2 linked regions of the Drosophila melanogaster genome follow. The protein of the gene in region 2 purifies or fractionates together with the protein of the main gene of each other region. This does not show direct contact. Each region holds a gene or a part of one and is shown on either strand. Other genes may lie near its edges.

Region 1 (17,510 bases), on a different chromosome or scaffold from region 2:
GAGCGGGACGCTGCATTAATTAGAACACTGCGGATATGTGCATGTATGTATGGGTTTCAGGATCGAAATTACTTTCTTCGGGGCCATAAAGCGGCTCTTATCTAAATTAGGATGTTGCTTGTTTGCGGCTGTGTCTGCACAACATCGCCGTTTTCACTATTTGCGTAGGTGTTTCATTTCCGTTTCACAATTTATCTGGCGAGTGTGTTTGCCGGCACACTCAGCCGAGTAGCGCACCTTTAGCCGCCTCAAGATTTTCCTCTTTCCCTACTTTCACATGTGATTTTCCCTCGCGGCCTTATCAGTTTTTGGCGCGTCAGCCGTCGTCATCGTGATTCACATTTTTTCCTCCCTGGCCGCCGCTGTTTGCACTCGAAACAGTGACAGTAACCGAAAAATGCACTTTTAAAAGGGCCCCCGTACTCGGGGTTCGAATCGGACGATGCAGTTTGAGAATCGAGGGAATTTGGCGCATTTGGGGTGCGTGCCTTATCGCTGGGGAGCCCATGGGGCTACGACTCTAGATATCGCATAAATCAGAGCCTAGTCGCGCTTTTGCTTGATTATTTCCATTTTATCTATTTGGCTGCGGGTGGCTATAAAGTTTCTGGTTTTTATCTTTGTGCAAACACGGGAAAGCAGTGATATTAAGGCCCTGGCGACCTTATTTCCACCGGCCACCAAGAAAACAGCGAATTCTATTCTTTTAATTAGGAATCCGCAGAAGAGGTGGAACCCCTCAAAGGCAACCCAAACAGAGGAATTTCATTTTAATTTGTAGGGTAAATAGAAAATAGACGCCATCTTTTAAATTATGTAAGAATTTTTTCAAAACCAAAATAGAAGTTAATAAGTGCCACTGTTTGACTTTAATTAATTATTACTTATAATTATTTATTTCTGAACTCCAGTAATCTTATGCAAATATTTAATATAAGAATACATTGTAGTTAAAATAGGTACCACTTTGGCCGATTGTTCCTAATTTGTTTATCCTAATTTCACAGCAAATTTTTTAACCCATGTTTATCCGATCTTAAGTAATTTTCCAAACAAATTATATTTTGGCTCGAATCGCTCCAATCGATATAGTTGATTAGAACCCCGAGAGCCGGTTTTCTCCCACCAAACCAGTTTATGCAACCCCAAACTTTAGCTGGGATTTCGAGAGTGACCACCACCATATTGATCATGCGAAAGAATGTTTTGTTCAGCTCCCGTCCGAAGATACAGATTTCTTCTATCCACTCCTCTCAAAATACCCATGCAACTTAGCACCAGGCTGCTAATTACATATTCGTTGCCTGAAAAATTAACTTTCCAGCGGCGAACATTGTAGCATGCCAGTGGCGACAACGAGACTGCTGCCAGTTTTATAAAGTCCCCGCTGTGTTTTTTATCTACCTATCTGACTATCCGACTATCTAACTATCTAACAATATGTTATGAACTGAGCCTGGGCCCAGAAGCCGCCCATTTCAATGACGAGCGTTGCGTTGCGGCAGCCGAAAAGCTGTCAAATTGTCGAAAAAATTATTGTTATCTTGCTGCGCGTTATTGAGTGGCCGTGTTCACACGCAGCTCCAGCTCAAGATACAGATACAGCTACAAAGATACATTTGTATCTACACATGTCCGTACAAACAATTCAATTAATTGTTGTAGAGCGGAATATGTCACATCGGAGGGATATGGATGGCTAGCTTTGGACTGGGCATATAGTTTTTTTTTTCGGGGGGGCTGTAAGCCCAAACTCTTCGGTAGTTTATTGATTTACAAGCTGGGGCCCCCGTATCGCAGATAGATGCAGGTTTATGGGTGGCGTCCACTTGGGGCTCCAGTAGTACAACCATAACCATAGCTATCACTACAGCTGGAACTGGAACTGGAACCGACTTATCGCAGTGGCGTTGTGATTTTTTGAGTGTCGAAACGCCAAAGCAAATATGATTGGAGTTTTATTTACTCTGGCCCGTCCGATTGGGTCTTAATTACTTCCGAAAACAATGACAACCGATGACCAGTGGCGATACGAGCCCCGTCGCCGAGCATTAATCAATTTACAACGAGATTTAAGCAATGACATCGGTAAATAATAAAATAAATACAATTTGAATACCGGTTTGCCATTTTCTGGCTATCATTCATAAACTTTTGTGCGGCCTGACATGAAAATTAGCTCTTCAGCCAAGGCAGACAGCGCAGCGATCTCCGAGATCTCGTAGATCGGAGATCGCAGATCGGAGTCGTCTAAAGCTGGAACTCCGATCGCTGAAGAGCTCCAGACTCCGGAGTTCGAGTTGGCGATGGAGATGGAGACCTGAAGAGCATGGCTGTTGATCACGGTGATGACTGCGTAAAAACGAAAAGTAAAAACACCAAACTGGCACACAGCTTCGGATGCTTGAGATGTGTTGCCCGTTTGTGTTAATCCCATCAAGACCCAGCACATTATGAAGTAGCAACACCAGCAACAATAGCACCAGCACTACCACAAACATGGAAACAGCACAAACTGGAGCTGCACTGAAAGAAATATAGTTCATTAGAACCACTTAATACTAATACTAAATGTATCTATATTTGAACCATTACCTTACGCCGAAGTAGGATAGCTGCAAATGTATTATGAAAATATAAGAAATAAATAAAAGAACCGAATTTTGAAAAGTTAAATGCATTTTAAAAATTATTTAAATTCAAGGTCATAAATATGTCACATATGTAGACCACACCAGATAGACCCCAATTCTTTTCCGTGTGGAACCCGAAGCTGCGACTGGAGTCCCAAGTTGGAGCTGGAGTTGGAGTTGGAGCTGCATGTGGTGAGTGCTCATGTGCTCCACTGGAGGCTCCATCTCTACATCAACGGCACAAGTGACATAAGTGGCGCTTACCCGATGATGCGTGCGCATCCAACGAGCAGCCAAAAGTCAGTCCAGAGCTCCGCAGCTTGTCTTCATCGTTTTGTAAGAGTCATCTCATCATTTTGCTTGTCGCCATCTGGTTGCGACTTGGTCCGGCTGATAAGAACGTGTTAGGTGTACCATGGAGTTGTTAAATGCAGCACCGCTGCGTCGTGTGTGGTCCATCGATGGCGCTTGATAAGAGAATTTTGGATGCATTCGATCCATGGGTCGTACCGACATACCACGGCATGCGAGCGAGGGCTCTCCCGGTTTTTAGTTTTGGTTTTGGTTTTGGCCCGGTCTACCCATGACGTGACGGGCGGCTGACGTGCCAAGTGCCATCGAAAATGGCAAGTCATTGGCATTTCAACTGGACATGCGGCACCCTTGTTAGCCCGAGCTGTCTCTGACTCTTTGGTTCCAACTCTCTGACTGGGACTCTGCAGGGCATACATATGCTCATATCTGGCAGTGACTGAACATCCTTCGACGCATAACGGGCAGCACAGGATAAAAATCCAACCCCCTGCCCTCCGCCGGATGACGCAGCAATCGGCGAAAGCGTTAATTTAATAATGGCCAAATTTGTGACTGAATGTCGGTTACTATAATTTGGTGCAATATGGGAAATGTGTGGCACCTTTCCGGCACGGGAGGTGTGTTTGTTTTCCCAGTCGCTGCTGCCCATAATTGTTACACTCGGCTGCACCAAAGTCAAAGCTACAAAGTCAATGACATCCAGAGCAAACAGCGCAGAAGTGCCCGGCAAAACTGAAAGTCTTAATCAATCGATAAGTGAAAGGAGGGAAAACTCACGGGAAAACACAAGAAACTAAACCTAAAATCTTTGAATATTAATAGTAACTGAATTAAATAATTCCTTAACAAAGATGTATGTGATATGCAAATATGAAGATGCCTCAAAACGAAAAATAGAAAAGTATATAACGAAAATTTCCCTTTCGCTAAAAATCAAGTGGCACTAAAACACAAAGCCTTTTATGGCCGGCCACAATAATTTGCTGGACAAACAAAGATCCGCCACTTCATAAATAGTTTGCACTTGACAGCTACTGCAGCAGAAGCCGTTGATTTGATTCCTGCCCCGATCCCCAAGTACCCAAACCCCGATCCCCAATATTCCCGAACTGAAGTTGTGGTGTGAAGTTCTTGTGATTCACTCGGTCGGTGCGAAATCAAAGAGATCTCCGCCAGGCGGCGGCCAAAAGCATCATAAAAAGTTGGTACCTTGTGTCCACCAGCAGAGTTCATTGATTTTCTGTTTGGGCGGGCAACTCAACTCAATCAAAAATCCAAAACGAAGCTGAAGAAGAAAACAGGAATCTGGAAACATAAAACCAAACGAAGAACTTGGGAAAACGCGCACGGCGGTGGCACTCTATTAGCACCTCTAAAGCACAATTTACAACAAACATTTACAACTGTCAATTGGCAACAAAGCCGGCCAGCGAAGGGTGCATATGATGGCCAAAGAGGAGATCGGCCAGAAATTAAGGATTACAGGTCACCCGATGCGGCCACAAAGGCACCGCCGGTTTTAGGATTACGATGAGATGGTTTTTCGGGAACTGGCCGCTGACGAATTGCCGGCAATTAGTTAGCATTAAACAACAACTAATGGCATCAACGTGCATCAAGAACCTTTCAATAACACACATATCAGTATGAATGCACACAGGGCACACAATCGTATCTGTCACAGGGCATACATACATACATATAGTACGGTTTAAGAAACGAAATTAATAAAAATTTCACTTGAATTGACAAAGTGCCCGAACGCCGTGACGTTCAACTGACGACAAGTGCCACTTGACAAGCTGCCGAACTTGAAATTTTTTTTCATTTCAATATTTCATTGTTACCCCCGGCAAATACACGGCATATACCCAACATATAGAAGTCTGACTCTTGGTCTGGCTTGATTCGCTCGATGTGTTACCTGTCCGCCAGCCTCGTCCCACAGCTGGCGATTAATCTTGACATTGAGTTGCTTTTGCTGTTGCAGAGACAGATGCAAAGACAATGGCCCACTGGCATATATAAATGCGATTTTCTCGACCAGACACTGTTGACAATAAATAATTTAGCCATCTATAATGGCCCGTTGATGAGTGCTGTTTGGCCAGCGAGGAGGAGGAGACGCTCCCACACTTTTTCCACCGGCGATTGCATGCAAGATTGCGATCATAATCATGGGAGTTCACGTGCAGAGCACGCGGCCGCTGGAGGAAGGACAAGTGGCAAGACTCGAAATCCAGGACATGTAATGGGATGGATGTGCGAGCAAATAGATTCCCAGGCCGTTTGAACTGGTGCTTCACGACAAGTGCGGGTCATCATAATCATCGGCATCATCATCGACATTATTACAATCGACCGCAACTACTTTAATTACACTGTTAGCCGCAGGCCAAACTACACTGGTCAACAAACTCAGGGTGGAAAATCTGAAAGGTGTTATGTAGTAAGTTGGGGTTGGTATTCAGCTTTTTATAATATGTCAATGTACATTTTACTTATTCTGATTTATGATGAGCATAATAAGGGAAATATGTTATAAAACTGCAAAATGATATGATGGGTAATATATGGATCTATTTTTGGAAATATGGATAAAATATTGATATCATTCAGTAGCTTAGTACTTAGTACTTCGCTACTACTATAATTATGGTGAAAGTTAAGAGTATATACTGCTCACTCAAATGAGCAAAAACCTAAGCCATGTATTTCCTTGCAGTCCAGTGTAAGCTGAGGTTAATAACTGTAGCACGCCATGGGCGTGAAAGGTGGGCGTACCCGCTTACCAATTGTAATGCAAAGCGCGCGCGCGTGTGTGGGTGAGTGGAATGGAGTGGAGTAAGGGGATGTGGGGTTCGAACCAGGACCCTCGGGCGTATTGCAAAATTCAGCTTCGCTCGATGGCAGAGCGGAGCGTCTCGCCGCTCAAGTGCGGCTCAATAGCCCGCCGGGCTATTGACAGAAATCAAAACGGTCCAGAATGGGCGGACTCAGTGGGCTAAATGGCAAGCGCTGGCGAGATTTTTTGCTTCCTGCGACGGCCCCTTTTTTTGCAGGCATTTGAGAAGACGGCTTATCGTGGCATCAAAACAAATTCGTTTGAAATTAATTCGGAGATTTGCTTTCATTAGGCCGCTTGCCGGGTGCAAAGTATGTAGCTGCGTTGGCAAACACACAATGGCAAAAGGAGAAACCACCGACACGGCGTGCGGCTAATCCCTAAGCCAAACTTTTGGCTGGTGGAAGGTCGTTTCAGGTCCAAGTTTCGCCGCCCTCCATCCCCCGCCAACACGTGACCCTCAATTGTTACATGCCGTAAACCAACACCCACCCACCCAGGCCATTCGATTGTGTTCCGGAATCGCTTTTCTGGCTGCGTCATCACTTTGAATTTCTGGCGAAGAGCCGTGCATATTGCTCCTAATGCGACAGTTTAATTGCAGGTGAGGCGCATCGGGTCGCGTGCCCAGGGAAGCGCCGCTGATGCAATTAGACAGCCAACGACTTTCCCATTGTCCTGCCGTGACTTCTCCATTGAATCGCCTGTGTGCGGGCGGGCCTCCTGGTGTCGCTTTCCCGGCACAGTAGCTTCTGCCTTCGCCCAGTCCTGCTGTGCGGGTGCAGTGTGGCACACCTGGACGAAACTCTTGTCCGACTCGATGGCGATGGCTTTCTAACAGCTTTCGGTAAGGATGCTGTTGTCTGTGGACGTGTGCTGATTCGAATTAAGTCCTTATCAGGATTTATAAAGAATTTTTATTTGGATATTAATAATACCACTCATAAGCATAGTAATCAATATAATTTACTAACATAGCTTGCTTATAAATCAGTCGAAGACACTTTTCTCTGGGGAAGGCAAGGGTCAATTAACCCATCGTTATTTTGAGAACTTATTCTCAGGGACTCGCCCACAGGACGAAGTAGATCAAAGGCGTACCCCTGCGCCGAAAAGCGCAGACCAGGAACTTGGGTTCTCATTCCATCTGGCCAGAACTGGCCAGAAACTCGAACGCGGACCGAACAACAAAAAAAAGAGAAAAAACTTTCTCACATTACATCACGGACCAGTGAGGACGGCTAAAACAACAAGGACGAGCAACTGAAGCGCTCTAAATGGACACCGAACAACATCGTTTAATATTGATGGCCATTGTTTGAGCGCTTTATGATGGGAAAGTGAGCCCATCTCCGTGCCACTGCCTACGCTTTTCCACCGGACCACGTTGTGTTGGTGTTGCCGGTTCAAGTGAATATTTAATTAAATTGTTTTCTAATAACCACGCGCTACTTTGCTGGACGCAAAACACGCGTCCGCAAGCGGCGAGCGGCGGCAGGACACGCGGCATTCGGACCGATACCGGGACACACCTTGTTGTGCCAACAACATTAGCAGGGGCCTAAATAAAAAAAAGTACGATGAAAACGAGAGCCACCCCTTTTTCGCTGCGTATCCTGGTTCTAATTTTCCAAATTACGCACCATCAATCATCGCCAGCTTTGACGAACGTCGATGGCGAAGTGGATGTGGATATGGTAGATGTTGATGATGACGTTAGATACCACCCCCACCGAATCCAAACTACCTAGACCATCCCAACCAATCCAATCCCATGGCGCAATCACTTGAAGCGAGCAACGCTGCGGCAGCCGCAAGATGAAATTAAATTAAACTTCAAGTGGCCGCAAGGACCTGCTGAATCCTAAAATCCTAGAGTCCTTAACCCGTAACCATGGGAAGCTGTGCCGCTCCGGCTGTTTTCCATCGTAATTAACGCTAATTGCGTTTGGCCATAAGCCGCACTTTTTGACTTCTCCACGTGTTCCTCGGATTGTCCACAGGATTTTCCCACCTTAATCCTTGGCCATGGCTGTGTTTTTGTTATGGATTGACTTTGGCCGACAAAAATATTGGCATTGCATAAATAAGCAGTAGATAATGCTGATCGGAAGTGATTACAGTTTGCGTTTGGCATTTCTTGGGAATCCTGATCCCAGCGAGATTTTAAACCCGAGACCCATCCATCTGGTAATTGAGAATGCACTCCGGCTAATGAAGGCGGTCATCGTGATGGGAAGTGACCAAATTGGCTGGACAGAGTGGTCTCAAGGATTAATATCGCAGTGCAATTAAGAACTCAATCACTGTGACTCGACTCGGGTCTTGTTTGCCTCTCTCTGATTACATTTATGAAATTATTATTGATGTTTGGCACTGACCACCACAGCCCACAGTCCATAAATGGCACACCCCCTCCATCTAGCCCCCATAAGCCACCCCGTTTCTAATTTTGTTGAGTAGCCCTAACTCCAATGGCTTGGACATCGCCTCGGCCGGAATAGACAGGCCATTTTGATTGAAATGCAGACACAAATGCTGGCAGGCGGCCATTAAGCTGCTCCGATCTATACATAAGTATGGTCGTGTAAGTAACCACAGCAGGGGGTATCTTAGCAAGGCTAATTACACATTATACCAAGGATATGGTAGGTATCAATCCATCTTTAAAGTTCGTAGGGAAAAATATAAGTGAAGAGAAATCTTGCTTTAAATGTTTAATATTAGCTACTATAGAGACCGGATTATGTTTTAAATCAAAGGACTATTGTTCCCACCGCGACTGTATGTGCATCCCATATCCTCTCACACTAATCTGTATTATGTACACAGTTGATTTGCCTGCCACTCATGCCACCCAGTCCCCGACCCCATGCGTCCACATCCTCGCCCAGGACTCGCCTACATAAGTAACGCCACATATGATTTCATTCATATGCAGAAGAACTATGCTCCTCCCTTATATCAGGCCGCTCATTGATTTGCAATGCCTAAAATGTTTCAGACTGATGATGGGTCGAACCCTGCCCACATCCCGTGCCCCACATGGCCCAGCAACCATCGCCCATCTACCCATTGCTGTTGCTGTTCCGCTCTGCCTAACTGACAAACATTCCCAAATGCCGAAGTGCGTGTCTTTCGCTTGGTGTGTGTGGTGTGTTTGCCATCGTTTTTGGAAATATTATATGCTCATACCTCCGTTTTCGAGTAAATTGTGTAAATATTTGCGCTCGTAAGTGGATTGGAGATGGATGAGTCTATCAGCAGAGAAGTTGGCGCTGGCAGAGCCGTTGGCATCGCCATCATCATATGCGTACGGGTTGGCCCTGCTGCTCCTCCCTGCCCAGGGCCATTATTTCCAATCCGCACCCGCAGTTCCCCAGTTATCCTCCCTTGTGGAATTTGGATTCGCATTCGCTTGCGCATTTACCTTTCGACTTTCGCCCACAGTCCACTTGCAGCTTGTTGCATTTTATAAAATGGCTACTTGGAAACTCTACAATTTGACAAAGAATTTATTTCCCTATTACATCGAGAGAAACGACTGCACAGCCGAGAATTCATTCGCACACTTAGAGGGACTAACAAAAGGCCATTTACGAGTATATAAACAATTCAGCCTTATTTGGTGGCCTTTTTGTCGGTTTCCTTCTCCGGTTCACTTTCTGTGGTCTCGTCCTCTTCCTCATCATCATCATCGTCTTCATCGCTTTCATCATCGTAGTCTCCATCGGACTCATCTTCATCGTCATCACCCCCGTAGGAGTAGCCCCCACTGGCGGCGCCACCATAATAGCCACTGCCACCGGCTCCATAGTATCCACCGTATCCCTCCTCGTCGTCGCTGTTGCCTCCTTGTTGCTGTCGCCCGAATTTGTGCGACCGCGTGGACATGCTGAGGTCCTTGGTCACCGAGGTATCGTAGTTGCACTTGGGGCATGGAATTGGCTTGTTCTTGTCGTACTTGAAGCCCTTGCGACGCACGTGATCCTCGCAGTAACAGGTCTTGCAGCGCAGGCAGGAGTATTGACCCAGCTTGTTGCACGATTGACACTTGTAGTTCTCCGACTCCAGCACCTGGAACCGAATGGATTGCATTACCAAAAGGCGTCATATGAATCTCAAAATGAAGTTCGGAACAAGCTTAATGAGTATTTTTGGTTACCCACCTGACAGCTGGCCTGGTGCTCGAACTGATCGTCCTCGCACAGGAATCCGTTGCAGAAGGAGCACTTGAAGATGCGCCCACCGTGCTCCCAGACACCGCGTTCGCACTCCAGGCAGGTCGCATTCTGCAGCGGACACGTGCAGGCGTGGTTTTGGAGACACTTGCGTCCGTGGCAAACCCAAGCCTCGCAGAAGTCGCAGATGGCGCCCACCATTCCGAGGCCCGTGGTGTAGACGCCCGGATGTTTGACCACGCAGTCGCCGGTCTTTAGCATGCACTTGATTTTCCCGCACTGGGCGCAAATGGGTAATCTCTGAATGCTCTGGCAGAAATAGCAGAAGGCTCTCGACTTCTGCTTCTTCTCGCACTTGTCGCACTCCATTGGTGCATTGCAGGGCAAATCCGCAAGAGGCACCTCTCTGCTGCGGATCTCCTTGAGGCGAAGCTTCTGCTTCTCGGCCTTCTTACGCTGCCCAGTCTTCTTTTTCGGCATTTTTGAAATCAAGGAATTAGAAAACTTATTTCCTTACGTGTGCGGCAGTGTGGCTGCTGCGGGTGCGCCGAAAAATACCACAAAAAGCTTTCGAATATTCCGCTAAATATGTAGCTACATCTTGAAAATAGCTACAAAAAATGCGTTAAATTAGCATCGTGGAGTTAGCGGCGACGGCGGAGCCGAGTAATTTAACACATCATTTTTCTGGCCAGCGTGCATTTTGGAATATGCTCTGCGAGTGGAGATATTCCTTGAAAAGTAGCTAGCCGATTTTTTTATTGCATATTTTATATACTTTCTGAGTCCTATAAACTTTAGTCGTACATAGATAGTTAGATCTCTTAAATAGTTCGATTTATTAAGATTTTTGCATTTGTATTTTTTTTGGAATTTACCTATAAATAGCGAAAAATTAAATAAATAAATAAGATTCTCATTTTCCATATTTCACCGTTCTGCCATAGACGCTAATTTGACCCACATAGATTTTCAGTGGAAACAAGTGGAAGCAACAACCGATTAGTGTAACCAAATACCTTTGCTTTTATTTAGGTCTAGTATTTTTGTAAGGTCTGTCTACGGCTTTCCTTTCCACAGGAAAATATATTTTCAGTTTTAGGGAAGGGGTGCTACAGTGAGCGTCTTTCGTTCCCAGTGTCGTTATTTCTATAGTATTGCTGAGATATATATCAGAGCAGTAAAGATATTTAAATATAAGTTCTTCGAAATGGGTGGTCACGACAACTGGAACAATGGTCAAAATGAGGAGCAAGATGTAAGTAGCACACAAAACCGCGACTGCACAGGGAAAAAACTCAGTTCGGCCATAATCCCAATATATATATATTTTGGTGATCAACGCGCTTTTACCCATGCGGCAACTAAAGTTGATGTGCTAAAGCATTTCGTTGCGGTTTTGTTACTTAAGACTAAGACTAACAGTAGTTGTATCTTAATAGTGCTAGGGAGTACGATGCTGTCGGTATTGGTTTCTCTTTTAGCTTTTTAGTGCAAAAGGCGTGATCAAGAATACACATGTTACACACATTTTTTAAGGCATGGTGAAAAGAAACAGGGCAGATATTGTAAAAGTATTGTATTGACAAGGGTGTCTGTCAACTTATCGTTATCGTTCTAGGTAGTATCGAATAGGTGCTGGGTTTAATCGGGTTGTAGAAACGGTCACACTGTATTCAGTTTTTTCATTCGTCTCGTGTGTCAGGGGACTTTCTCCATTTGCAATAGCAAAAAAAATAGTTAGATTAGAAGTTGTTCAACTTTTGCATTAGTAAAATGGTGAACTCGAACCAGAACCAGAACGGCAACTCCAATGGCCATGATGATGTAAGTAGTGGATATTAAGGGTCTAGAAATTTCCTGTAAGCTGGTGTCTCGCCTTGCCGGTCGCCATTTTGAAAATTACGCATGTGTCTCAAGGGCGGAAAGTGAGGTTATGGCCATTGATAAAATCAATAATTTAGGACTTTCCTCAGGACTCCATCACCGAGCCGGAGCATATGCGCAAGCTGTTCATCGGTGGCTTGGACTACCGTACCACCGACGAGAACCTAAAGGCTCACTTCGAGAAATGGGGCAACATCGTGGACGTGGTGGTCATGAAGGATCCGCGCACAAAGCGTTCCCGCGGATTCGGATTCATCACCTATTCCCACTCGAGCATGATTGATGAGGCCCAAAAGTCGCGTCCCCACAAGATCGACGGTCGAGTGGTGGAGCCCAAGCGCGCCGTTCCCCGTCAGGACATTGATTCCCCGAATGCCGGAGCCACCGTAAAGAAACTCTTTGTTGGCGCCCTCAAGGACGACCATGATGAGCAGAGCATCCGCGACTACTTCCAGCACTTTGGCAACATCGTCGACATCAACATAGTCATTGACAAGGAGACTGGCAAGAAACGCGGATTCGCCTTCGTCGAGTTCGACGACTACGATCCCGTGGACAAAGTTGTGTGTAAGTACAACGCTTTTCCTAATCTAGACAATATCAAATATCCTTTAAGAATGATTTATCTCTTCGAGAGTAGACTGTTAGGAAAATCACATTGCCATGTTCTTAGATTTATACAATACAGATTGAATTATCTGCACAGGAAACGAATATTAACCCCATTTGTGTACGCGGCGTTCGTGTAGAAAAAAAGTATGACATGCAACCACCCCTAATCTATATGCTCAATCAGCTCTGGCACATTGTAGGGCTTCTCGTAAATGTCCATCAGCGTCGGATAAACGAATGCGCACTATAAGCAAGAAATTTCGATAAAATTGCAATTATTACAATATATCCACAGTCCCAGCTCCGCATAGCAATGTTCGATGTGCTTGTGCGGCGTTTGTGACTGTAAGAATAAATTCCAGCCAGTATTATATCATTGTTGTTGGTGCTCTTCGTGCATCAACGATGAAAGAGTATATGGCACACTATAGCTTGAATCTAAAACTGTTTCCTAATATCACAGTACTGACAAATTAACTGGTTTGAAACCATCACCAGGGTAGTTTTTTTTTAAACGCTGTGAGATGAATTAAAGCGTCGGCTAAGCTATGTTATGCGAATGTAAGCATTGCGCCTATTCAGTGTAACACGCAGCCTCGTTACAATAGTTCAATTAATTGCTATTATGGAAATCGATACACAGTCCCAGCTCCGCATAGCAATGTTCGATGTGCTCATGCGGCGTTTGTGACTGTAAGATAAAAGACCCAGCCCATATTATATCGTGTTGTTGGCGCTGTTCGTGCATCAACGATGAAAGAGTATAAGGCACAATATCACATTGAATTACCAACTATATGAAAAGAATGAGTATCTAAATGCCTTCGCTTACTTGAATATACTGACAAATCCACAGAATGGTGAATGTTATTTAGCGTGAATATATCTCCTAAAATTAGCTACGATTCCACAGTCCCAGCTCCGCACAGCAATGTTCGATGTGCTCGTGCGGCGTTTGTGACTGTTAGAATAAATTCCAGCCAGTATTATATCATTGTTGTTGGTGCTCTTCGTGCATCAACGATGAAAGAGTATAAGGCACACCTTGATTATCGAACCGATTAAACAGAAAGTTTCTAGATCAGCCCCTTCGTGGACGTCACAGTACTGACAAATTGACGGGCTTGAAAAAGTCGCCTGTATGGTTTTTATTTAAACGCTGTGAGATTAATTTAAGCGTCGGCTAAGCTATGTGATGCGAATGTATATTATAAATCAATTCTGTGTAACACGCAGCCTCGTTACAACTGCAAATCAAATGCACCGAAATGGTGAATGTGTACTATCCGATATCGATCCTAATTTTAGCTAAAATTCCACAGTCCCAGCTCCGCATAGCAATGTTCGATGTGCTCGTGCGGCGTTTGTGACTGTAAGATGAAATCCCAGCCAGTATTATATTGTTGTTGTTGGTGGTGTTTGTGCACCAATGATGAAAGAGTATATGGCACACTATCCTCCGGATGCACCACATAGGGAAGTTCATTTTCGAATACCACTAATAGCATGCTTTCCCTCTTTATTTTTGCAGTGCAAAAGCAGCATCAGCTGAATGGCAAAATGGTGGACGTAAAGAAGGCCTTGCCCAAGCAGAATGACCAACAGGGAGGTGGCGGAGGACGCGGTGGTCCGGGTGGTCGTGCCGGTGGAAACCGCGGAAACATGGGCGGTGGAAACTACGGCAACCAGAATGGTGGCGGCAACTGGGTAAGAACTTATTGATCGCCATCAATTCGATTTGAGGCTTATTACTGGTTAATTGGCATTGCAGAACAACGGTGGCAACAACTGGGGCAACAACCGCGGGGGTAACGACAACTGGGGCAACAACAGCTTCGGTGGTGGCGGCGGCGGCGGTGGTGGTTATGGCGGTGGCAACAACAGCTGGGGCAATAACAATCCGTGGGACAATGGCAATGGAGGCGGCAACTTTGGAGGCGGCGGCAACAATTGGAACAATGGTGGCAATGATTTTGGAGGCTACCAGCAGAACTATGGCGGCGGTCCGCAGCGAGGTGGCGGCAACTTCAACAACAATCGCATGCAGCCCTACCAAGGAGGTGGTGGATTCAAAGCAGGTGAGCAACAGCACGTCTGTTGATGCATTACTGATAACAACTAGATAGCAAGACACAGTACCCTGACACCTAACTGTTAGAGCGTCGATAGAGTTTGGCAGTTAGCTTATTAAACGCTGTGAGATCAACTGACGATGGCCTTCGCTATGTTATGCGTATGTAAGATAATCCCAGTACGACGTAACACGCAGCCACGTTACAGTTTTTTCATGAACAGTCACCACCAGTATAGAAACTAGACTAGAAAGACGATTGGATATGTTCCTAACGATCCTGGGTTTTCTTTTAGGCGGTGGCAATCAAGGCAACTATGGCGGAAACAATCAGGGCTTCAATAACGGTGGCAACAACCGCAGATATTGAGAGAGATTCCGGACGAGGTGAGACATCCAAATAACCACTACTAACACAAAAATATACATAGTCCAAGGCGAATTCAGGCCATAACTAACCGCTTATCTATCCCGTATGACCATTAATCTTTCGCTTGATTTGACAAACATATGTTGTGTGTTTTTTTTTTTTTATAATAGCGCCCTTATCGGCATTTTTGGTAGTTTATAAAGCATATTGAGACTAAAAAGCAAAACGGCTGAGACAGTCCGACCCACCTTACTCAACAAACTTATATACGTATTTACACTTTTAAGTATTTAGAGAACAAAAACCCATCAACCAATTAAGAACTCCTTTTCATACCAATTGTTTTAAATAACGTTTCTCATTTATCGACATTTTATAGGTGATAAAGTAAAAGTCGCTCAGTATAATCCCAAAATTCAAAGTCAAGTAAACGATACGCAATTCAATGATCAATATGATGAAGTATGAACGCACGTTCATAGTCCTAAGAAGTTTTCCGAGCACCACAAACCAAACATTACAGATTGATTGATCAGGATCAGTGCAGTGCAGTGAAGTCGTAAGAAGTTTGGTTCAGTCTTGGATTAGAACAGAAAGAGAGATCAGTACCAAGCAAGACCAGACCAATACAGAGTGCAGTGCAGTGCAGAGCAGTGTGTGAGCTAAACAGAAGAAACACAGCAAGTGGCAGTACACGTACACAGAAGGTGACCAGGATTCCATTCAATTTGTCTTTGCAAGCGATGATAAATTGAATGTCAAGAGGCGCATCGAAAACTATCCAATACCCACAGAATTGTAATCTATAATTTGCAACCCATATGTAGCAGCCCATATAAGTAACATTGTAATTAGATCCACAAAGCCGACGACAGGCCAAACATTTGTATCTCCACCACACGAGCAACCAACCAACCAACCTACTTAAAACAACCAGTCATAAACGAATCAGCTATGTAAAACTTCAAGGCGGCAGCCGAGAGATATGTTTCTTTGGTTGCAGACAGCTCTCCAGTCCATCGGCTGCCGGCAACTTTTGATAATCAGAGCAGAAAACACAAAATATATAAAAACATGTATTACATTTTACAACTTTACTAGGCTAAGTTCTCATAGAATTAAATCGAGTAGAGCGTGCGGAGCGACTTCTGCATCCATCCGCACGCTACCCTAGTCTTAATAATTTTACTATTCAAGTTCTAAGCGAACCTGACCGTGTGTGGAGGAATCTAGATACTTAGATTTTTGAATAAGTGTCGACATGGATATAACCTCTTCCGCTGCTTAGATGTAACCGATCAACAAACAACCTTTATTGTAATTTATACCTTTTAGCAAGCAGTCTGTCTGAGGAGTCAGCGCAATTATACTTAACAAAATTTACATTTTAATGTAGCTAAAAAATACAAGATGCAAAAAAAAAAAATAAGCAAGTGTCCCGCAATTGATGTAAACTCTGACGAAAGAACAAAAAGTATATAGCTAAGCCAAAGCCTCGTAGTTTTCTATATTTCTGTAGCAGCATCAGCAAAAGGATCTCGATCAGAATGAGAGTGTATTGCAGAGGTAACAAGGTGCAGCAAGTCTGACCAGGTCCAAAAGCCAGCCAAGAATATGTACTTTACTATAGCATTTGTTGTGGGCGGGCCATTAACGTCGTTCGAGAGTTCTCCTTTCACTCGCTTAACAGGAATCATTTTCCCCTTTTATTTGATTTGCCCCCCGCCTGCTGTACCATGTCATTTACAACCATGTATATTATTGTAATTTCTGTTGCCAGTTGGCTGCGAAAAGTATGCGAAGCGCTGAAAGACTGCCGCCGCGCTACTGAATGCAGCCACGGAAGGTGCCCGCGTTTGCTAGCAACTCCGGTCGCTGGGTTTCGGTTCCCTCTGGGTAAGTAATCCTCCGCAGATCCCAAATCCGGAAAAAGTTGTAACTTTCAGGTGGTCTGAATCGGCTCGTCGCACCTGAGGATGGAATGGATGTTGAACGGTTTCCCCTCTGCACCATCGTAAATATACGACTTTTATTTATTACTTCATTTTATTTTCATTATTACTATCTTTGAATAAAGAAATTTCAGAATACCAAACAAAATGATTTTCGTTTCATTTTGAATTAAAATTTCACCAGTGGGGGAAAATAACGGTATTTGAACAATAATGGCGTTGCGAATGTAACGTGATTGGCGTAAAATCGCAAATTCCGTTTTATATAGTTGAATGATTTTCAAAGCATTCATTTTGTTGCATTTAATGTTAAATTTTAATTAGTCCACTGAAAATAATAAATCATGATAAATGAGCACTGTGTCTGTCACTTTGTTGTTGGTTTGAGTCTTCTCTAAGTGGTGAATAAGTTTTCTGCGATATATTTAAGCGGTCGCAATACGGTCATACTAATTGCATTTCTTTTAGGCAGGGGGCGTTAACTTGCGAATTAATGACTATAACTAACTAAAACACCGACTAAGGACCTCTGAAATGGACTCTACTGCCACTCGCACGCTGCCCTTTGTGTACAAGTATAAAAATCATAAAGGCCAAGACTGCGAATCCCGGCTGGACATCACTTTTCCCTTTGACCAGGAAAA
Region 2 (14,478 bases):
GGTGGTGATGATCTCAATGCTCGACGACGTCTGATTTGTGGAATCATCGCGGCAACTAAGAAGATCTTAAACGCCCGACTTCTCTGTTCGCGAGTTCAACGCTTCCTAAGGCGATATGTACATGCACATAAATCTAAGCCACAATTGATAGCCATCTCCTTCGACCATCGCGAGCTACTGTGAAGCGAGTAAACCGAAAGAAATTGGACTAGATAACAGCTTTCTCCCATCAATTATAGTTCACAAGTTGATGATTAAACATAGAAGCAAACCAAAATACGTATTTTAGAGTTATACAAGTAATATAAGCAAAATTACTATATGTATTGTAGATATTTAGGCACCATTAACTCATGTAATTTTCTTCTGTGTACTGGACACTGCACATGGTGCATCTAGATCAAATCCGGTGGACGACAATGGACTTCCACTGGATGCCACAGCGAGAAGTCAAGCCTGGCTGCCTGCTTTTGTGTTTTTTTTTTGTCGAGTGTGCAACTTCGAGCGCTTGTTGCATTGACAATGAAGTTATTAAAGCGCAAAACCGCAACGAACCACCACCTGAGGTTATTTTTCTTTTTCAGCAACGGAAACATGTGATTAGCTTGCAGCACTAGGCACTGGGTGAAATAAAAAACGTACTCCGCGTGTCAAAATAGACGTCTTACCAGTTCACTCCATAAATCCACCTGATACTAAACCAACTTTTTATTAGGGAAAGTAGAAAATCACTTGGAATCCCCATCACAACACAGCTTCAGCTTCGAAATTAAAGGGCAGCATGATTGAACGCCTTAATTGGCGAGTTGTTTCGACTTGAGTTGCCCAATTTGTAGCAAGTAGCTCACTTAGTTAAGCACAACATTTTACCAATTAGATAAACCTCAAAGCCAGACAAAAAGTTAACTAAAAAAGATGGGTTTAGTTAACCCAATCTATGTGTGTGTGTTGTATAGCCACAGGTGTTCAATGTTCTGCTGACTTAAGAGCCTCCAGTCACGTAAAGAGATTTCAACGTCTGGAGTTCGCCGGATGACATTACTTATGGGAGTTAATTGCCAATTCTGGTTTAACATCAACTTCACATAATTTGTGAGCTTAATAAAATGTTTGATTTAAGCACTTGAAATTCTATATTTCTCATTAACAAAGATTCAGATGGGTTTCTTTAATTGAAAAAGCTATGAGATACAGAACTCTTGCTTTATGACTTCAACTTAATTGAATGCTAGCTCTTTAATTAATTTGTACACAATATCTTTTAATTTAAAATTAAATTTGTTCTTTTCGATGACGCATTTTAAACCATTTCAAAGTTTTCCATTAGCACATCAACAACTTCTAAAGATACCACATAAACAGTTTCCTCTTTTCTTTATTACTTCATCAAAACTTTGGAAGCACTTCTGGCACCCCTTTCACCCATTTGAATTTTGAATTTCCAAGCACTTGGGGTACAACAAACTTTGGGGTCAACAGGCGATGGCGATGACTCTGTGAGTTGCTTGCTCAGCTGGAATGAAAAATTCGAGGCAGACGCCGCGTCGTCGTAGGCAGTTTTTTTATCTGAAGTTTATCGTCTTCACGGACTTGGTCAGTTGGAAATGGGCACCGGCGTCCCAGCTTGAGACCCTGCCCCAATGATCTCTGCCGCTCACGCTGAACGAAGTCTTTTTATAGTTACGACTGCGTTTTGTGTGGGTTTATTTGCTTTAGTAATTATTATAAATAGTTGGGAATTAAAGCCATCCAGCGAAATGAAAGCTGAGAGATGGCGGCGCCCGCAGTGAAACGACTGGCAAGTGGCCAAACGAGACCAATTTCCAAAGCAATTTAGTTTAATTGAATGCAATAATCATAAAAAGTAAGGAGGAGAGCGCCAAGCCAAGATAGTAAATTTGTAATTGAGAAGTAATTGCTTGTCGCACTGAAAGGTAATTTTATTTAATCCACAATGTTGATAGGCGTCCATACTGCCACTTTAAGTGGAAGCTGCAACGTTAAGTGATGGTGCAAAATGCTTTTTAGCCACTTTGACTGTTTCTTTCTTTTCTTTTGTGCTGGCCAATTTGCAATGAAGAAGCACGGCTAGCACCACGACATTGAACGTGACTCAGGGGTAAAAAGCATCTCAGTTATGACACGCGAAATCGGAGCGAAAAAGTTGAGTTGGCAAATTAAATAAGCAATGCGAAATGCGAAGAAGCGGCCAAAAGAACAAAACGCGAAATCATATAAATTATTATAATATCTCCTGCCAGTTTGCTTATTGCCTCAAAGCCCGTTTCAAACAAAAGATACCCGACTGACGCATCATCGCTTGCCTCTAATTAATGGAAATAGATACAGCTAGAGATAGAGCTACAGATATGTAGATACATTGAGCAATGGCAACTCTCAGTCTTGGTCAAATTGCCGCGCCTCATTGAAAACCTTCGCTCTTCGTCTTGGCTTCACTCGGAAATCGAATCGAATCGAATCCAATTCATGTATCAGTACACATATGTATCTATGGGATGCGTAACACGCGCCAGCATTTAACTCTCTATAAATACGAAGTACAGCGATATCGTGCTAAGGTTAAATTTAGTGGATAGCTGCAAATGAATTCGATCGGAAAGCAAGGCTGCTAATGAGCCAAGTCCACTGGAAATACGATTGCCGTAATCATCAGGTTGCAATGCCAGATTCTTTAGAATTTCAAGGGAAGAATCGAGCTCTATACACAAAGTCTTTTAATGACATCATTTTCAGTTGTTAAGCAGTTGGTACCAAAAACTAAAAGCTGTTCGTTGCGAATCTTCAGGAACCTAAGCCAATATTATTGTTAACTATTTAACGTGTTTAGCTAATGATTTGAGGTACTTGAAACTACGAGCTCCACTCCTTAAACTTGATTAAAATCTCTAATAATATTATTCTCGCTTAAAATATCTTTTCTCATCTTTCAATTTGATCGATCTAGTTCCTCACTCCCGCTGCTTATGAAGAGTAGGCCTCTTTATGAGCTTAACCCAATTAATAAATTAAACTTTGTGCGTTCCGAGACACGTGTAAGCGATAACGCTCATCATTCGATAGGCCCTAGGCTTTCCCACACAAACAATCCCCGTAGAGAAAGCATTACTACCTCGGTAACATGAAGTTGGACACGGGATATGATTATGGTGATGGCTGTATCTGACCGCGAGTCCATGTCTGCGGCTTAGTGGATGCAATCTCTCCAAAAACTCTTGAGCGGACAACAAGTGCCGCTCATTAGGCGGACCGCAAACAAGGCGAACCGGTTAATTTAAATAGCCAGAGACGAAGATGAGACCGAAACTGAAGCTAAGCAGACGCAATGATTGATTTACCAGGCACAGTTAGTAAGCTAAACGAACTGAAGTTTACAAGAGACGATTTCCACTGGCCAACCACCGGTGGCGGTTAGGTGGATCCAATCCACAGTTTCAATGACGCTGACAGGCAACAATTTTTATGTGCGCTTCAAGTGCATCCGGAGATTCATTCATTTATCTTCATGGGCTCGATGAAAAGAAGCCACAACGACTTGAACGACGAAAAGAAAAAACAAAATCGCCTCAATGGCCAAATACCCGGTTTTGGTAATTAATGAAAACTCATCAGCCGCAAAATGCGCAGCCAAGTAAATGGAGCGGCTTGAATTGCTGTTGGATTAGCTAAAAGCTAAAAATAATCGACGGCACCACATCAAATTAAGCCCAAAAAGGTAATGCATTATTTGCTATATGGTGGAATCGACTTGAATGCCTGCTTTTCACTTAAGAAAAGCCTACGCTTCATTCGAGTTTTAGAGAGGCTGAAAATTTCTCATTGTTTTAAATTCATTTCCTCTCTGGCTTATTGTCTAATTTCCAGTCGATCTCATTTATGTACAATAATTGCTTAAAGGTGTGTGCGCTTTAATAGATTTTAGATTTGAAGAAAGCGGCTTGTTATAACAAACTTTAAGTACTTTTTTAACTTAGTTGATATTTTAATAAAATTTAACTGTGCTTGATTGGTTAAGCCCATATTTCTCTAGACTAGATCTTTTAATAACAATTCGACTGCTTTATTTCATCCGTTCCCATTTTCACTGTGCTCCACTCAATTTCATGTGCCATGGGCGCAGTTTGTTTAATTAACCAGCCTGCAATTTTCACAATACCTTTTGGCGCTTTTCATTCCGCCAGTTTGCGTTACTGTTGCTGTCGAGTGTGTCTTCTCAAGCGTGTGACCGGAGGTGAAATTTTTATTTCTGATTTTTGGCATTAGACCCGCGAACCACTGCCGCAAAATGCCTAAAAAGTGCTGGCCTGGCTAGCTGGCTGACCAGCTTGCGATGGCGATAAATGTGCGCAGATACGTTACAGGCCGCGTCGCGTCGTCTGGCCGCTTTAAATGGACAACTGGGAGTGGGTCACAGCTGCAGCTGTGGATCTGTAGTGGAGCCTGCGGCTCACCGAGGCAAACGAAGCGATTATAGGGACCCAGACTTGGAACTAAGCCTTCCCCCCGAAACCAGTTCGTCTTCCCAGACAGACTTCGCAGCGATTCTTTCTTTCCTTCGAAGCGTAAATATTTCAATTTATTTATTGGTCATGCGTCTTCGGCATCGTATCGTTTTTCGAACACTTTCTTTATATTCGGCACCCGAATTTCAGAAAGATATAGCAACATATGTCGTGGTGTGATCAGAAACCCACAGTATCTTGGCCTCGGTCTTGGACTTGGACTCACCAGCACGCAAAGCCGTGCCAAAATGTGTGTCAATGGCCTTTGCGGGCCCTTCTTTTCATTTTTATTTGGGGCGGAGATACAAAGTCTGGGGCGTGTCCCAAGCGGATTTTCACTAAACTGAAAATTAAGAGTGAAAACGGTTCGAGTTTCTGTCTTTTTACCCAACCCTGCCATTTTTTTTTTTTTTTTGCAGCACACAAAGCAAAAGAGGTGTGTACGTCGATTCCAACTGCAGACCATGCATGCATGACCCCGCGTATTAGTGTCCCATCCTATGGCCGCCTGATTGTCATGCTAAATGGGTGAAGTGAAACTACGACTGCGATTTCGGACTGTCGAGAGCATTGACCATCTCCCCAAAAGAGCATTGCCTGTTTTTAGCTTTTTCTTCTCCTACTGTCAACTGTCAAACGAAATTTACACGTTTTTCTTTCCAGCTGCAACTCACGAAATAGTCGAGACTTGAACAAAGAAATGGGGAGTGCGTGAGGCTCCTTTAGCTGATTGATTGTTTGGCAAAGTTTGCATGTTAATTGCCTTTATGGTGGCGATAGACGACAAAGCACACTTAAAAGTCTAAAACCCCATTACTGAGTTCATTGGAGTTTTCTTTTTTATCAGTCGTGTCGCCTTCTCATTTTCTACCAATTAACATTACTAGGTTGTGACTCTCACCCTAGCGAAGACAATGGAACTAAAGCAAATATAGTGTAAGCGATTAAAAACAAAGTGAATAAGATATTAATACAATCATTATACTGAACTTCTTTCGTTAGGCCACATATTGTCATTAAAAATTCTTTTTTCATAGTGTTAAGCAATCAAGTCCTCTGGAAGCGGAACGGAAACGGTCGAGGCTGACCCAACAATTCAATTAAGTTGACTCCTCCTGCACATCTGAACGATCGAGCCCGAGTGGAGACAACTTGGTTCCTACCTGCTAGTCCGGCTGGCTGATGCGGATTGAAAACAAAACAAACAGAGCTTAGACAACTCACAACAATGCGGTCGTTGGACGCGCAGGCGCGCAGCAGGGGCCGCTTAATATGCAGCCAGCGTAGCTGGTAAGTCGGAGATGTATACCCATATACCCATACCATATAGCCAGCAGCAGCTGGCGTCTTTCGTTCTTGCTGTCGCTCAACTGATCAACTGGTTTAACAATAAAAACAAAGCTCAGGCGGCGTTGGCGTTGCTTGAACGTTCAACAGAAACGAAAAAGTTACCGTCTTTTTTGTTGCTTCTCTCATGCGCTGCCATCGATTGTCGGGGCTTGGCTTTCTTTGAGGGAAAAAATATACAAACTCACTTAGAAACTATAAAAAATGGCAATTTGTACGCTTTGCCTTTTTCTCCGCTTCTTGCTCAATCGTATGTCTCACACGCGCTTCTAATGTCTGGATACGATACATAAGCTCGTTCAAGATGATGGCATATAAAAAGCTACACGAGTTTTTCAATTGACTTGGAAAGTGGCAAGCGACTGCCAGCATGCATCAAATGGATCGAGCCCCAGCGAAAAGTGGGCGTGATGGGCAACAACAATGGCTCACTGTTTTTTGGCTCTCGGCTTTGCCACACTTTTGATGAATTAGCCGTTTTTTTTCCATCGAGTGTCGGGGCTTGGAAAATTGAGTTGCAGCTGCAGCTTATGATGGAAGTGGTTGGCAGGGAGCGAGGAAGTTCGTTGAGCCGGATCATACCCAGCTGAGACTCATTAAAACACCACTTGAACCACGATTCGTGTTACACCGCCTCTAAGTGCAGGTCAATAAGTGGAGTTGTTGTCTGATTTTCAAGTCCAAGCCAGTTTATGCCTTTGTGCGATGCTATGGGAGAGAAATGGCTGGAAGAGCTTGATTGATGGGGATTCTCAAGCAGGGTAATTGATTTACTTATAAATAAAATAAAAATACTTCCCATACCGGGAATCGAACCCGGGCCTTCTGGGTGAAAGCCAGATATCCTAGCCACTAGACCATATGGGATATGTTCTACTTTCTTCCAAGTTATATAAACGTTTTTGTAGTTTTTCCTTGTTAAAAATGGTGCACGTACTTTATAAGGAATTTTATGCCTTGTTCATTTTTAAATTTATAAATAGAAAATATACAGTGGTGACTTTAAAACATGTCCTAAGAGGCAGACTAAGGACACACTTTAGTCACCTTCCAGACAAGTCCCATATTGTCTAGTGGTTAGGATATCCGGCTCTCACCCGGAAGGCCCGGGTTCGATTCCCGGTATGGGAAACTTTTTTGCCTAATTTCGCTTTTTTTTTATTTGTTACCATCAGAGGGTTAATAATTTTGGGCTTTGTTAAAGGGGTTGACTGACCATTATACAGAGGTGGTCAAAAGTATTTCCACAACGAGCTTTTTTTTTCAATTAGTTGACAATGGTTATTAGTTGACAATTGAAAAAAAAAGCTCGTTGTTCAAATACTTTTGACCACCTCTGTATATGTTTTCATTCCATATCTTAATTTTCTTGTATTAATAGTTTTTCCTGGGTTAAGCAAAATAAACAAATAAACACAAGGCATTCATTCATGTTGGCGAACAAAACGAGTCTTTGCTACAACACAGATAGCCTCCCATATGGTCTAGTGGCTAGGATATCTGGCTTTCACCCAGAAGGCCCGGGTTCGATTCCCGGTATGGGAAGAGTACTTTTTTTTTACTGCTTAAAATAATTGATAATTGATTTTCCACATATATTGAGCAGTCTTCAAGTCTATTGCTTTCGGTAATTGTATGTATTTATGTTTGTTTTTGCTTTTCTAGTGTGCTTTATTTCTTTGCAATTGCCTAGCGCCACCAATTGATGCCAATCGGACACGCTACGAAATAATTCGAGACTTTTTTATGGCCGTTGCTTTTCGTTGCCCCAAGTTGTCAATTGTTGATGTTTGTGCTTATGTAGAAAGAAATAAGAGAAAAGAAAAAGGAGGGAAAACGGTTTTGTTAACGACGGGCAAAAGCTCAAAGAGCCAGAGTACTTAACTTTTGTTAAACCGAAAATTAGGCATGCCCAGAATTGCAACATGTACTGGAAGCAACAGCAACAACGACAATAGCCTGCCGCAAAACGTGTGGCAAGCGAATAGCAGCAACAATAAAACGGGCACAATGCCTTGACTGAGTTTTGAACGTTTTTTTTAGTTTCTTTTTTTTGTAGTAGATACGGAAAATTGCTTTTTCATTGTTGCAGTAACCAATTTTTGGCTGTTATTGTTGTTATTTACAAGCTGACTTGGCAAACGGAAAATCAATTTTTAATTGCAACAAATTTGAGAGAGCTGCGGGACAGGCAAATTGCGAGTTGGCCAAAAAAGGCAAATTAAAGTAAGCGTTAACGAAAAACAATTGGCATTTTGAGTCAGAAACGGGTTTAACGGTATCGCAGAGGCAGCTGCAGTATCTTTTGAGGAAACACGCCGCCACATGTCAAAGGGGGACAGCAACAATATGTCAAAATCTCGATGAGCAGAGCAATGAACCGTTGTAATTAGCATACGTCCGCGTGCGTGCGTGTAACAGAGAGCACAATAGAGGCACTTTCGATTATTGAACTTGTTAAATTCCGCATTTCTCTGTTTGCGCTCGGTGCTTAGATTGTTTATTATTTGGTATTACGCTTATTCTTTTGCTTTGGTTGCTTACCTGGAAATGATCTCTTTCCTTTGGTGCCTAACCGAAAAACAAGCGAACAATTAATTTCATTAGAAGTATCTAACAAATGCGAATCCAACATGAGATATAGTAAAACAAGAAATAAGTGTGAGCAAATAAGATAAGCAACGCCGCGTGGGGAAAGAGAGAGAGAGAGAGCTGTTGGTGAGAGCGAGAACGACGCGAGTTGTTGGCGGAAACTCCTGTCGCAGCAAGCAGCAGCAACAACAACTACAGAACGGCGACAATTACGGCGCTTTATTGATTTTTTACAAAACAACTATTCGAACACGAAGCGTGCCGTTTGCATTTGAAACTCGGTTTTCAGCTTATATCGAGATTATTTAATGCACAACAAAACGGAGCACAAAAGAATTTCGCACACCAGCACAAGTTTTAAGCACTCACACACACACACATACGAAGCGACTTCAATGTCAACTTCACTTTTTGTATTTTTATCTACTGCTTCGCTATTTTTGGTTTTCTTTAGCAGTATTTAGTACTTTGAATTTAGTATTTAACTGCACTTTATTACCCGTCAGTCTGCACGCATCCGTGCGCTCGTTGGTCGAGAAACAAATTATTCAACCGCCACTTTGCTTTTGGCCAAGCGCGCTTTTCCCACAGCTGTTTTACTTAAGCGATAAAACGCAGCGACAACTATCAGTCGCCTGGCTATCGATTTGACCCAGGGAGGGGAGCAACTAGCTCTGCCAATCGAACTGGTTCCGAGCCGAAATTCAAAAATGTCATCGGTAAGATAACGTGTTTAGCTACATCCCTTTGGACATGTTTTCTACATGTTGACTTACATTTTACATTATATTTAATTTTATTAGCTTGGCGGTTAGTTTTGAATATAAATTGAAGGTAAAAAGGTATAGACCAGTTTTTTCTATTCTTGTTTACCAGATGATATATCGCACCACAATTGTTCGCTCTTTTAATGCTCATACTCATAAAATATATTGCTCTTTAATATTATAATATTTTATTCTGCATTTAGGTTCTTAAGTTTCGTATTTTTTTTAGCTTTTTACCGATGCTCAACCCGAATTTCTGTGTCGCCGCCGGAAGCAGTGATTCACATTGGGCTTGACACCCTGACATCGATTGTTCCAAGCCACCCAGGCGGAGAATCCTTGCTGTTTCCTGATGTACTTCGCACAGGCAATGGAATACCGGATATCGTCGCTCAACAGCAGGCGGCAGGGCAAGCGACACAGATCGTTGGATGGACGACCATCCGCCGGCTTGCACCAGTAACGATCGTTGATCTGGAAGAGACCCCAGTCCACGGATCCATCAACGTTCGAGGGATTGATGGCTTTTGTGTTGAACGAGCTCTCGCCCTCCACGAGGCACAGCCAATCGGGTAGCTCGTTGTAAGCCATTCCGTATCGATACAGCTGCCGGGCCAAACTGCATCTGCCCACCTGGCGGCCAGTGGCCAGTGATAGCGTTAAGAGCACCAGCAGCCAAATGGGCCACATCTTCCAGAAACAATGCAGGCTTCTAATGGTAACTCGTGGCTTATATAGCCATCCAGTTTGCTGCGAGATTCGGAGCACAACTTGGCCCAATCTAATTTTTACAAGCACTCATTTGGACAGCTCTGAAGTGTGGCCCACACTCGAGCATAAATTATCAACACTAGGCGACAAAGATTGGAAGTCATAACCATCTCCAATTCTTTTATTTTGTTGGAGCTATTTCGGAAAGGCTATTGCTCTGAGAAATCAGTAGATATATGGTTATTTTAGGGTGTAGAACTAAAACTACAATTCTCTAACTTAACTTAAATCCCAAACATGCAGATGAGTGTCAGACTTTCAATTCTCGATCATTGAAACAGGCCGATCGGGCCAGTTTCGTTAATATATGGAGTGGGAATCGCTCGCCATTTAAGCGAGGCATCTGCCTGGCCCCAGATTCACTTTCAATGGGTTCTTTTGTGCGATGCTCAGGTATTATATAACCATGTTGACAGCTGGAGGGGCCGGAGCACTTGAGATCGCGTGTGCGCCAACAATCGAACAAAAACCCCGAGAGAGCAAAGTCATTCAACTTTTGGACAACTTGTCGTTCTTTCTTTGTTTTTGTTTAACGTAAAAAATTAGTACAAAAATATGCAATAAAAATGGCATGTGTTGATACTATGTTTATCCCAAACGAATCTCCTCCATTTCCTGAGCGGGCGGCTGCTTGATCTCCTGTTCCGTTGGCGGCACATATCCCTGTCTCGGCAGGAATTGCCTCTTCCTGGATGTGGGACGTATAACGATGTGTGCTACGCATGTGCAAATGGCGGCTATGGCAAAGTATTTGAAGCTCTCTCGTCCGCCCAGGCTTTTGAACATAAGTCCGCCGATTAGGGATCCGATGGAGAAGCCAAGTCCATCGTCCATGCCGGCCATCAATCCTTGAACGGTGGCCGATGTTCCCGGAGGAGCCACCGCCGAGGCGTAGGCCACAATGCACGTATAGCACAGAGCATAGGTAATGCCCTGGAAAAAGAGCTCCACGCCCACCAGATACCAGGGATTGGGAATCCAGGCGATCAGCGACAGTCGCACAGCGTAGAAGAAAAAGCACATGCTCATGCAATGAACATAGCCCAGTTTTTTGATAATCTTTCCGCTGTAGAAGAAAAAGGGCACCTCGCCGGCCAGACACTCGGCGGCCACCACTAGACCTTCGATCAACTTGATCTGATGCATGTAACCAGTGGCCTCGGCCACCTGCTCCAAGTGCCAGAACATAAAGTATATGATGAAGGAGTCAATGATGCCAGCCATTGTGGCGAAGAACAGAAAGACCAGAATGGGTGGCTTGCGCACCAATTGCCAAACATCGCTCCAGATGGACTCGGAACCACCCAGTTTCGGCAGCTTCAGCTTGGACACACTGAACAGATCGAGCAAACTGAACACGCACATGATGATCAAGGCAGGCGTCAGACTTTTGACCGCATCCGTGGTCCACCAGTTCACTACGATTCCGGCTAGCATGGCAGTGGCTCCAAAACCAATGGTGCCCCACACTCGTTGTGCTCCGTACTTTTCCTGCTCCTCATCGCCCAGAAGGTCAAAGCAACAGGCATCGGATATGGAGTTTGTCACGTTGAAGCCAACGATTCCAATGCAGAGCAGGCATACGAACAGCCAGAACTTGCCAGCACCATAGATGCAGCTATTTACGTGTCGCACCTCGCAGGATGCACTGTTCCAATCGATGGCTGCTGGTTGCGTGAGACAGATGTGATAACTCTCGTTGCCATGAAGCAGATTCTGGTTGAGATTGAGGCCCGACTCGTTGGCAACAATTAGAGCGGAGAATTCGCCTACTTCCTTTTCTTCCTGAATGCATTTTGCCTGATGAGTGGTTTGACAAAATGCGTTGGAGGATTGGATAATGGTATTGCAATCGTTTGGATTCGTCAATAACGTTACATTCCATTGGGCACTTCCCTCGTCCAATGGAATGAAATGTGAGTTGTCGGGCAGGAAATAGAAGCCGGCGAAGGCCAGTGTCATGATGAGGATAAGGGAGATGAAGATGAACTTGCGCAGGCTCTGCAACAAAGATTATAGTTTAGTATTTATATTAATAGTTACTAGGCATATCAAGCTCACCGTGAAATAATCGGCTAGGAAACCCACCAAGGGTTTGGCTAAAACATAAAGTAGGGGCAAGGCGGCCGTAATATAGCCCATAACATCCGGTGGAACACCGATCTGCTTGCCGATCACCGACAATTGTGGCAATATGGGTCCCATGGCTAAAAGTTGACAATGTGCACATGAGTTTATAAACTACAATAATTTCCAAGAAATCTTTCTATAATTGCAGCAGATTCTCACATCATATATTCGATAATGTCAGCGATAAGAACATTTTGATACGAAAGAATCTCACGAAGTGCGAAATCGGCTTTAATTTTGGATTGTTAAGTTATAACTTTACACTCACCCGCCATGAAAAAGAAGAAATGTGCCTTGATGGGCAGCAGGCGCCTGTTTAATCGCACCATTGTGCAGTCTGTAAAATTATGGCTAGTGTATCACAGTTCGGATATATCCATGCAATCCTCTGGTTATGCCGGGTGAGATGTGGTTCCTACCCAGATAAGATCATAATTTTTCGCACGTCTTCGACTTCGCCGTTCGACGTTCTTAGGGAATCTGTCGTCTGGTGGATAGAGTGTTTAAATAGTCACAGCGATATGGATGTAAATCAGAGAATGCTAAACTATATCTAATCACATCGCGATAAGATGCTAGTCCAGACTATATAGCAGTCTGTAATCGTCTGCATAAAAGTTCTATTGAGATAGCCAAAGGGAGGGAGCATAACACTCCGGAACAACGAATCTTATCTTTTCGCACCAAAGTCGTTAGATTTTGTTGGAAAATTAAGACCGTATGTGCGATAAAGATTTTAGGGCCTGCCATAATAAATATGCCCTTGAGGCATGTCCAAGATTCCCCCCCCCCCCCCACTTGTACCAACCAACTCAATTAGTAATTTTCATATAACTTGCGATATTTTTTTTATACTTTGTAGATAAAAACCGGTTTGCGGTACCAAATCACTTGTTAACTTGACACAGAAAAAAATTGCTCTTTTGCCAAAGCCGAAATAACTTTCGTAGATTGATCATTAATCAAACACAATTTAGAAATCCCTAGAAATAACAGGGGAGTTACGAGAAGAAAAAAAAAACCCAAGGTGCGTGAATGATGCTAACTCAAGTTATAACCGGGAAGCCATAGAAATGCTTCACTTGACTACGTTAAGTTGTGATGAGCAAATGCTTTGAATACAATGAAATTGCACGAAACGTGTATAGTGCATATAGTGTTAATTAAGTATATTGATTATCTGTCGAGCAATTAGGTTCACGCGATTAAAATCCACCCACAAGTGACGATTTCCCAGAGATCAAGTTGAGTATATGGACGCCAAGAGCTGCGGTCAGAGACTGAGGCAAGCAAATAATGCCGAAAGGCATGCAGTTCGCATGGAAACTGATAAGTCAAGTTGGCCGATAAGGCGTTCGTTAATCATATGTTTGGTATATACAAACATAATTGATAAAGCGCTGGACTGGACAGCTGCTTAATGTATAGATAGGATTAATGTTTTTTTTTTTATATAGGTGATCCCCGCTTAGATTCTCACGCAAAAAGATACTAATCAATCAGAGAGCTATCCAAAAAACCCCGCCTGACTCATCATCAGCTGTGCGTAGCTGCTTTGTATTCCATTTATTATTTATTTACTGGCGATCTCGTTCTGCAGCCGGAGCTTACGGATTGCTCGGATCAGGTTTTACTCGCTGGCATCTGGGAGAGGGCTGCCTTCAGTTGCCGTCGATCTTCCAATGCGAGCGGTTCGGGCTTGAAGCCAACTAGTCATTGATTAACTAACCTAATCTCGACTGTTAGACGATCTTCAGTGAGTGAATTGACAATTAACAAGCAGTTGACGCAATCGAAGCTCAGAATGCAGTGGCTTACACTTATTTTGGTGGGGCTGTTTGCCTCGTTCTTATCAATATCGATGTGCGTGGCTGTGCAGCCGCCCGATGATGGAAAATGTAAGTCAATCAAAGATGAGGGGCGTATTGCCTTGTGTCTGGAAATATATTAATAAAAAGCATGCAAACTGCGTAAATTAGTAGACGAACTGTTGGCGATAAGTGATACATGAGCTTGTGATTGTAATTAAGATGTATCTTAATCATAAGCAAGTCTAAAGTTGCACTTAATATGTTAATTTTGAACATGCAACTAAATTCTGCTGAAGTTATGTTTGTTTACCAATCATTTAAGCCATTAAACTATGAAATATGATGCTGTAAAGGCCGACAGCAGCTGTTTACATTTCAAATATATATGATAACTTCTCAAGCAACAATGTTAGTCAATCTAAAAAGTGGTCGAGAGTAAAACTAAACTTTTTATTACAATTCCTACACATAAAAACCGTTTCAAAAACCACCAATCATCATGTATCTTTTAATCGAAATGCACTGCGAGAGAGCAGACGA

Evidence for each region.
Region 1: the proteins of mrj (region 2) and Hrb98DE purify together in Drosophila melanogaster (affinity purification with western blotting, with the first as the bait; one study listed by BioGRID). This does not show direct contact.

Annotation. Positions count from the first base shown.
Region 1 is NT_033777.3:28,588,768-28,606,277, forward strand, and holds Hrb98DE (heterogeneous nuclear ribonucleoprotein at 98DE), read left to right. Parts: upstream 1-11,639; 5' UTR 11,640-11,750; coding exon 11,751-11,801; intron 11,802-11,938; coding exon 11,939-12,428; intron 12,429-12,761; exon of another isoform or gene 12,762-12,901; intron 12,902-12,930; exon of another isoform or gene 12,931-13,080; intron 13,081-13,109; exon of another isoform or gene 13,110-13,249; intron 13,250-13,379; exon of another isoform or gene 13,380-13,519; intron 13,520-13,572; exon of another isoform or gene 13,573-13,722; intron 13,723-13,788; exon of another isoform or gene 13,789-13,928; intron 13,929-14,004; coding exon 14,005-14,180; intron 14,181-14,244; coding exon 14,245-14,551; intron 14,552-14,603; exon of another isoform or gene 14,604-14,755; intron 14,756-14,840; coding exon 14,841-14,914; 3' UTR 14,915-14,931; intron 14,932-15,293; exon of another isoform or gene 15,294-16,328; intron 16,329-16,694; 3' UTR 16,695-17,010; downstream 17,011-17,510. Other genes in the region: Noa36, read right to left, coding at 9,415-9,870, 9,963-10,454; CG9986 (uncharacterized protein), read left to right, coding at 17,401-17,510. UniProt on the Drosophila melanogaster protein: This protein is a component of ribonucleosomes.
Region 2 is NT_033778.4:16,212,712-16,227,189, forward strand, and holds the start of mrj (mrj), read right to left. Parts: upstream 9,083-14,478; 5' UTR 8,959-9,082; exon of another isoform or gene 8,925-8,958; intron 8,439-8,924; 5' UTR 8,412-8,438; intron 7,413-8,411; exon of another isoform or gene 7,341-7,412; intron 6,999-7,340; exon of another isoform or gene 6,927-6,998; intron 6,735-6,926; exon of another isoform or gene 6,663-6,734; intron 1-6,662. Other genes in the region: CG7798 (uncharacterized protein), read right to left, coding at 9,470-9,916; CG15706 (uncharacterized protein), read right to left, coding at 10,586-11,998, 12,059-12,204, 12,396-12,456; Tsf3 (transferrin 3), read left to right, coding at 13,932-14,025.